Coturnix japonica: one gene and its partner. Each later gene encodes a partner of the first gene's protein in a complex. Links are inferred from orthologs where the notes say so. Each region holds a gene or a part of one and is shown on either strand. Other genes may lie near its edges.

The links. Proteins that work in one complex are often made in the same cells at the same time.
Region 2: the proteins of PER2 (region 1) and CRY2 are in contact, whole or in part, in a crystal structure (PDB 4U8H), measured with the Mus musculus proteins. The link is inferred for Coturnix japonica from reciprocal best matches to the Homo sapiens genes PER2 and CRY2. Residues at the interface, in NP_035196.2 of Mus musculus: Tyr1132, Leu1134, Gln1135, Asp1136, Pro1137, Trp1139, Leu1140, Met1142, Ala1143, Asn1144, Thr1145, Ile1149, Met1150, Met1151, Thr1152, Tyr1153, Gln1154, Leu1155, Arg1158, Asp1159, Leu1160, Val1163, Leu1164, Asp1167, Gln1168, Lys1170, Leu1171, Leu1174, Gln1175, Ser1177; in NP_034093.1 of Mus musculus: Trp58, Ser63, Ser64, Val65, Lys163, Leu166, Thr167, Lys169, Arg170, Glu215, Leu216, Gly217, Phe218, Asn330, Pro331, Ile332, Cys333, Ile334, Gln335, Ile336, Pro337, Asp339, Asn341, Pro342, Glu343, Leu345, Ala346, Lys347, Ala349, Glu350.

What each region holds. Positions count from the first base shown.
Region 1 is NC_029524.1:4,261,457-4,265,107, forward strand, and holds part of PER2 (period circadian protein homolog 2), read right to left. Parts: intron 2,601-3,651; coding exon 1,750-2,600; intron 1-1,749. UniProt on the Homo sapiens protein: Transcriptional repressor which forms a core component of the circadian clock.
Region 2 is NC_029520.1:21,417,870-21,421,520, reverse strand, and holds part of CRY2 (cryptochrome-2), read left to right. Parts: intron 1-2,076; coding exon 2,077-2,219; intron 2,220-3,651. UniProt on the Homo sapiens protein: Transcriptional repressor which forms a core component of the circadian clock.

The DNA of each region.
Region 1 (3,651 bases):
ATTTCAGGAATTAACGTTGATGAAGAAATTAACAGAATACATTGTAATACATGAACAAGCTTCAGATATATCCTCAGTGCTTTCCTGAACAAATGCCTGCTTTGCCTTCATGTTCAAACAAGTGATGATGAAATTACAGAAAGTAATATTTTGCAGGTTTCCGAACAATGGGAAATAGCCTCCTGAGAGAATTCCAAAGGATTTCCCGTCAAAATTGTTGGTATTTTTTGTTATCAAGCTTACTTTAATCCAGTAGCAACATTTCAGAGCACGCAGTAAGTCTCAGACCATCACAGATGCACTTCTTTACCATGCACAAATCTAAGGTGCTTTATTTATGTACATATATACATTAAATATAATGTGTGTATATTATATACACATACACTTGTTCTCAAGATCATGAGACACCAAGCGTGCCACAACAGAATACAGTAAGCTTTTGCATAATGTCAATAAAGTTTGGAAGTTTCACTAGAAAGGCAGATATATTATATTCCTTTCTGCTCCCCCTCTGATCATCCCCCTTAAGAATCAATATCAAGATTATTAGGTAAAATAAATCATCTGGAAACTGAGCAACTAAGTTTGTCAGAGTGAGGAGCAAGCATGTTTGTACGTTTTACCTTCCACCTCCACAGTTTCTAATGTCGGCACATGCCCACGACAAACTATATAACAAAGTCATTTAATCAGCTGTTGGCATCAGCACTAATTGCGCTCTATGACTGATTACTTGGAGCATGTTTGATCTCACATGCCAGTAAGAGCCACACCTTCCAATGTCTGCTTTCCTTTGAACAGCATGGAACTCAAATTGTACTCTGTATACGCTGTCAGTTATAGTGAACAGTTACAGCCCACATAAGAAGAAAAGCAGGAGGTAGGAGGACATTCTAGAAGACTTAGGTTGCATCCCATCAGTGACTCAGCATTCGGAAAGACACTATGCAGAATCCTTATGCAACAGTAATGTAACAGTCTATACCATCATCATAGAAATCCTTAGACACAGCACTCCACCTGAGGTTTGTCAGATTATTAGTTTAATTGATCCAACAAATCTAAATGAGCCAGGAAAAGAAGCTGACATTATCACATAGCTCTGTACGGAGCTTTAGGGCACAGTGCACCAAGAAAAATAAACAGTGTCCGCAGGCAATACCTCATACTTTGTTTGCAAACAAGTAGTCAAAATAAAAAGATAATTTCCTTTATATCAGCTTCTTTCAAGACCTCAGTTACAGGTTGCATCTCCCTCACTCCCTTCTCAGAAATTTACTACCCAAAAAGTTTTTGCTAAACATTAAAAAAAAGTGAACAAATGATTTACAATCTATTTCAGTGCTTCTCAATGAATGCATTAGCACTCACATTAAAAGCTGCATAACAAAACTAATTCGGGATTCATTTTCAAGTTTCCTGGGGTAACTTCAGGAGAACAATAAGGCTGCCTTCAACTTTAAAAGTTAGCATTATTCAAACAATTTGATTCCACATTTATACAGTCTACCAAAACCTGAGTTTACTAACTGCAATAGTGACTCCGTCTCTAGAGACTGCAGACCAGATATTAAAATTTAAGGTCCACAAGAGAGTTTTGAAAATGATAAAGTAGAGACAAGAAAACAGAAGAGGGAAAAAGACCCACTATGGGTATCTCTACATTTTAACACCTTAAATATTCTTAGAGTGCCAAGATTTTAAATGGAAAACACACATACCCAAGAAGAACACAAACATACTTACTGGTAGGGATCCCTTTCCACTACCATCATCAGTTGTCATGATTTTGTTTATGGCTCCTTCCTCATTTAAAGCTCCGTGCAAACCCGCAGGAGCTCCACTTTCCACAGTTTTTGTGTTTTCTTCTAACTGTAGAAGATTCAGAGGAGAACTACACCTTGACTGGAATAAAGGCGGCGAAGCCTGGTCTTGAGGACCCACTGACTGTGGAGTGCAGGAACGGGATGGCTCATTTCGTGTCTCTGTGACAGGAATCTTTTCAATTTCTGCTGGTGGATTATAATGGAATGGTTGCGTTGGAAAAAACGCCTGTTGTGGGAAAGGGCTGGGGGTAGTGAAAGGAGGCTGCGCTGGAAATACTGTCTGTGAAGGGAAAGCAGGATGGGTAGGAAAATTGGCTTGGCTGTGGTAAAGTGTTTGAGGTAAGCTATTGTTCATTTCTGGGTAGACATAGTTGGGGAGCACAAGAGCTACAACAGGCGTCATGAGGGGGGCAGAAAACTGGGACGGTTGCATAGGGCAAGTATTTCCCGAGTCTGGCAGCTGATTAAATCCAGAGACTGAAGTCTCAGGAGCTGGTGGCACAGTCCCTGCTGCTGCTGGAAAAACAGGAAGTGGATATGCAGGCATAACAGTTGGAAAAGACATCGCTGAATAGCTTGCTTGTGAAGTGTCTGATGGTGACCAAGCAGTAGTATTTAAACCCTGAAGAGGAAAGCGATGGGGGAATTTAGTTCCAGAAGTTGTACTGTCTGAAGACTCCTGTGGTTTAATGCGCTTTGATTTCCTGTTTTTCCCACTTTTCTTCCAAGGTTGATCCATCCCAGAAGTTCCATTTCGTTGTCCACGGCCACCTGCAAAAACAGAATCAATGACCAAATAATAAAAAAAACCAAGAACAAAGAAGAAAACACGCACCAGGAAGGAGCCTACTGGCAATGTGATGGATCCCCTACACTCTGGCACTCCTAGAAGTTGCTCAAAACAGTGGTTCTGGACTTTAGTCTGTCCACTCAAATGGAAGGATGGGGAAAGAGATCAGATTCACTTTTACCTCTAGCAAAATAGCTGAGCAGAGTAGGCAAGGTAAACCATGCTGACATGACTTAGGGGAAGAAAAATAAACAATAAAAAAAAGAAGTGGATAGATAAAGGCTCAGTGTGTCACCCAGTCAGTACAATGGTACAAAATAGTGGCTTCCAGAGGAGCTGCTCTAACCACTACAGCAATTACAATGAAAGCAGTAGAAGACACAACTGAAAGCACTTCTGGAGAGTTAGGGCCGTACAGGTCTGTAAATGAAAAGGTAAAGAAATAAAAGCAGCAAAGAAGAGAAAGTACACAAAAGAATTTTCTTTTGGAAGTGGAAAGAGCATTGAAACTTCATAAATTCTGCAAGAAAAGCATGTAACCTTAGTTTAGAAGTGAGCACCAACCAGCTCTTCTTTAGGTGAAGGCTATCAGTTCATCTCATTTACAGACATGAATAAATCCATCCGTCATCTTTCATATTTAAGTACTTAAATATTTCAAAGCTGTCCCAACTTTGAGTTTGCGTAAGGCTTATTTAGTCTGGAAAGTTTATCAAGGATAGAGAACACAGAGCACTTTAGTGTTCCAGAACATGTTTCCTAAACCAAGGACCTGCATATCTCTAAATATATCAAAAATGAAAGATAAAAGAATTGGCAAGAAAATGCTTCTCAGTATCTGAATTTTCTTCCAAACAGAACCAAAATGGAAACAAAGTCAGGTCAGTACCAAGAACATCTGAAACGTCAACTTGAGTTCCTATCCCTAACAAAACAAAACAACTCACTGCTACAGATAGCCTAATTTGCTTCCATCCCCCACTGACATTAACTTAATGGCAACCAAATAATCAGATTGTTTCACCAACAAGA
Region 2 (3,651 bases), on another chromosome or scaffold:
CACCATGGTCTTATAAGCTGTGTTTGTCATATAGATTGTACTTTAGGGATGGTTGACAGAAGTAGTGCCCCCAAAGCCTGCTGTGACCCAGCTGCAGAAAAGAAAAGGTAAACTTGAGTCAGCACCCTCCTGCTGTATGTTATCCTGATGTATATTTGTGGGAGGAGCGCAGTCTTGGGGAGGGGAATAGTGTATGCAGATCAGAAAGTGCACCAGTGTTTATTTTGGCTTCTGCAGGTTAGCACGTGACAAAACTTATGTGCTTCTTTCAGCCTTTTTAGAGACTTTGTTATTTTTATCTTTTGATCTGCAAACAAGTCTAAGCTATTAGTAGCCCATGCCCTCCTTATTTTAGTTCAAGGACTGGGTACTTGCAAGATAAGTGAAACTGTGTGGGAGAAATATACCCATTCTGATCAAAGAAACAAAGAAGTAGTCAGTAGGGTCTGAGGTTTGGACATATGGTTGTGAGATCAGCCAGGCCTGGGGGTTGGTACAATCTCTTCTGACTGGGCAGGCAGTTCAGTGGATATCTTACATGTGCTCTTAACAGAGTTGGTGGGTTTTTTGTTTTCTTTTTCATTCTACTACAAGGTAAATGTGTGGCTTTCGTGGGAATTCAGGCCTCTCCTGAGCTGATAAACTGAGCAGCAAATACTGGATAAATGAATGGCAGCAGCTTGTGCTTTGCTCTCAGCTGTTGTGAGGAGCTGACACATGTGGTAATGCAGCACTTACGTCCAATTAATTTCTGCTCTTGCTGCTGGGAGCTGAGCTGTGTTGTTGGTAACAGTTGCTGCAGTGGCACTGTGTGCATGGGTACAGTGAGGCAGGCAGATGAAGTGTACACATTAGCTCTGCTTTAAACTTCATAGTAATATAGGATTTTTGTCACCTGCTGTGGTACATACGTGTTGTAGTTCTCTTTCCTTCCTAATAGTAATTTTACGATTCAAGGCAAGCTTATATGGTTGTTTTCTGCTTCTAAACTCCCATCCCAGTCTTGAGTCTTTGTTTTTAAATGATCATTAATGAACTAATAATGTCTGTTCCTTGTGCAGTGCTTGTGTTTCTGATGCCTCTTAGGTCTGGTTCTGAGATGGAAGAGACCATCCTGTGCTTACAGAAGTGACTCACTGTCTCACTTGGAGACTGGTTCACATCTTGCTTGTGTGCAGGTTTTTTTAAGTGTCTCTATAGATTTCTGGCTGTGTTTGACTGGAGTGTTTGCTAAACAAATCTGTGGGCTGCTGCTCTGTTTGATGGATGCCTCCTGAGGGTCACTGTGGAAACCATTAAGCCTCTTCTCATAGGATTCATTTTCTGAGGAAAACTAGGCCATAGTCTTTGAGAGGAAACTATGCAGTGCCAAAGCCTGGAAGAGGCAGAGAGCTATTTCATAAGGCCTTTGTGAGAGATCTGCTGCAGGTGTGAGATAAAAAATGGATTTATGGATCCGCTAGGCTGAATAGAAGTTCTACCTTTGGAGAGTTAATCATTTCAATCTGAATTGTAGTATCATACATTACTTTTTGGAGCAGAGATGTCTGCTAAGTTTGTCCTTTTCCCAATACCACATTTCTTGCTTTTGGCTTGGGCAGTGGTCTTCTATTGTACAATGGCTTTATAGGGAGACATGGGAAAAGAATTAAGTGTATTCTCTTTAGTTGATAGTAGTCTGCATGCAATCCTTGCTCAGAAGTTTATATTTTTACATTGAAAGATTTCTCTGAAATCCTCTTTTTGCAAATACTGGAATGGGATGGCAGGGTTTCTTTTGGATACAACCAAACAAGGTGGTGTTAGGTCAAGTTGTAAGCTAAGAACATAAATAGAGAAGAACTCCAGCCTCCTTTCGTGTGGTTCAAATCCAGCTTTTAGGAATTTGCACAGCATTTGCCAGAGCTGATAAAATTATTGGTTCTTCCGTTACCCCAATGACAGACTGCTGTTCTCCACAGGAAGCTTCCCTAAGTTCCCAGGAGCTGACAGTAGCAATTACAACTTCAATGATTTAGTAATAGTGCTGGTTAAAAAGGTTTTCTTTTTGGCACCTGCTTGTATTATTTCTTACAGGAATGGGGAGTCACTCGTCTCACCTTTGAATACGACTCGGAACCATTTGGCAAGGAGAGAGATGCAGCTATTATCAAACTGGCCAAGGAGGCTGGTGTGGAAGTGGTCATTGAGAACTCCCACACGCTCTACGACCTGGACAGGTAAGGGCAAAGTGCTGCCTCAGCTGGGATTGCTGTGGCTGGGAAGACCTCGGTCTCCTCATTTACTTCGATTACTGTATGTTGATCTCTGTCATCCCTTGTGAGCTTGGGAGGTGTCACCAGGATTACTCTGCGCACTCCAGCTTTTGATTAGAGTGCGTCAATATGCAGACAGTGACGTGAATGTATAGAAAGGTGTTGCCTCAGGCTAACTAATCTGTACTTTACTGTCATTTAAGTTGCTCCGCTATGTCCTATTGATTGATTTTCTTGGGCATGACCTGTCTGTGTGGACTGCTTTTTTTTACTTCACTGTATTAAAGGTGTCCGAGTTACTGTCTCAAACAGAGACAATAAAGGCAGGGCTTTAACAGATGGATGTGCCAGGACAACTGGAAGAAGTAGAACAAGGTAGATTGGGGCAAACTTACCTTCTTCTAAAATCTGAAGGCCTTGTCTTTATTGTGCATTTGTTATGGCAAAGTCTTTCCTATATCTTGAGGTTGGTTTATTTATATGTAGGTAAGGTTGGCTTAAGACAGTTTTTCAGCTACGACTATACAATATGCTTGACTTGAACCATGTTTCAGTGTTATTCTTATAGGCTGGTTTCCTTTTCTTTTTTTCCTTCAGATGACTCGTATCAGTAATGTTGATTGTAGTTTTTCTCCTTTAAATCTTTAGTATATGTAACTTCCTGTGTGAAAGAGCACTGCAGTTTAGCATGTGCTATGTGGAAATGTTTACACGTGGGGTAGGGGAGTTCTTCACCTCTCTCATAAGGAGGAACTCCTCTCTACCTTTCTTGCATTAGAAGATGCTATGAACACTTAATTTATCCTCACTTCTTCAGCACCCCTCACACCCTTAATTCTGTCCTCCTTGTCTTTTCCCACTTGGAGAGTCTTAGCTTATTTACATTTTCAGTTGAAGTCTGTTCTGCAGCTGTTCTGATATCTTTTTTGTTGTCTTACTTTGTATTTCTGTGTGCTTATGGGGTGATATGGAGGGTGAAGAACTGTAGCTGGTGTTCAAGGTGTAGGAGCAACACGCATTCACTTAGTGCTGTAATATCCTTCTTTCAACAGTCACCAGTGTTTTTGTTAGTTTGCTTTTCTGACTGTCATTGGGCTGATGTTTGTGAGAATCTTATCAGGTGCCTTCCAAAACTCCTGGTGGAATCTGTTAGCCAGATATGCCCTGCTCCTGAGATTAATATGGCTAATAGACATTACAACTTCCCATTACCAAGGCCAGTTTAACCCTCCAGCATATTGTACATAGCCATTTGTTCACCGGTCCTATTAGTATTTTCTACTAATCTGCCCACCAGATCAAGCTTTCTGTTCAGTAGTCCCTCTGATGCCCTGAAGTGCTTTTCAAATCTCACTTCATGCTCACTTTCTTGCCTCCTCACTATGTGGACAGTTTT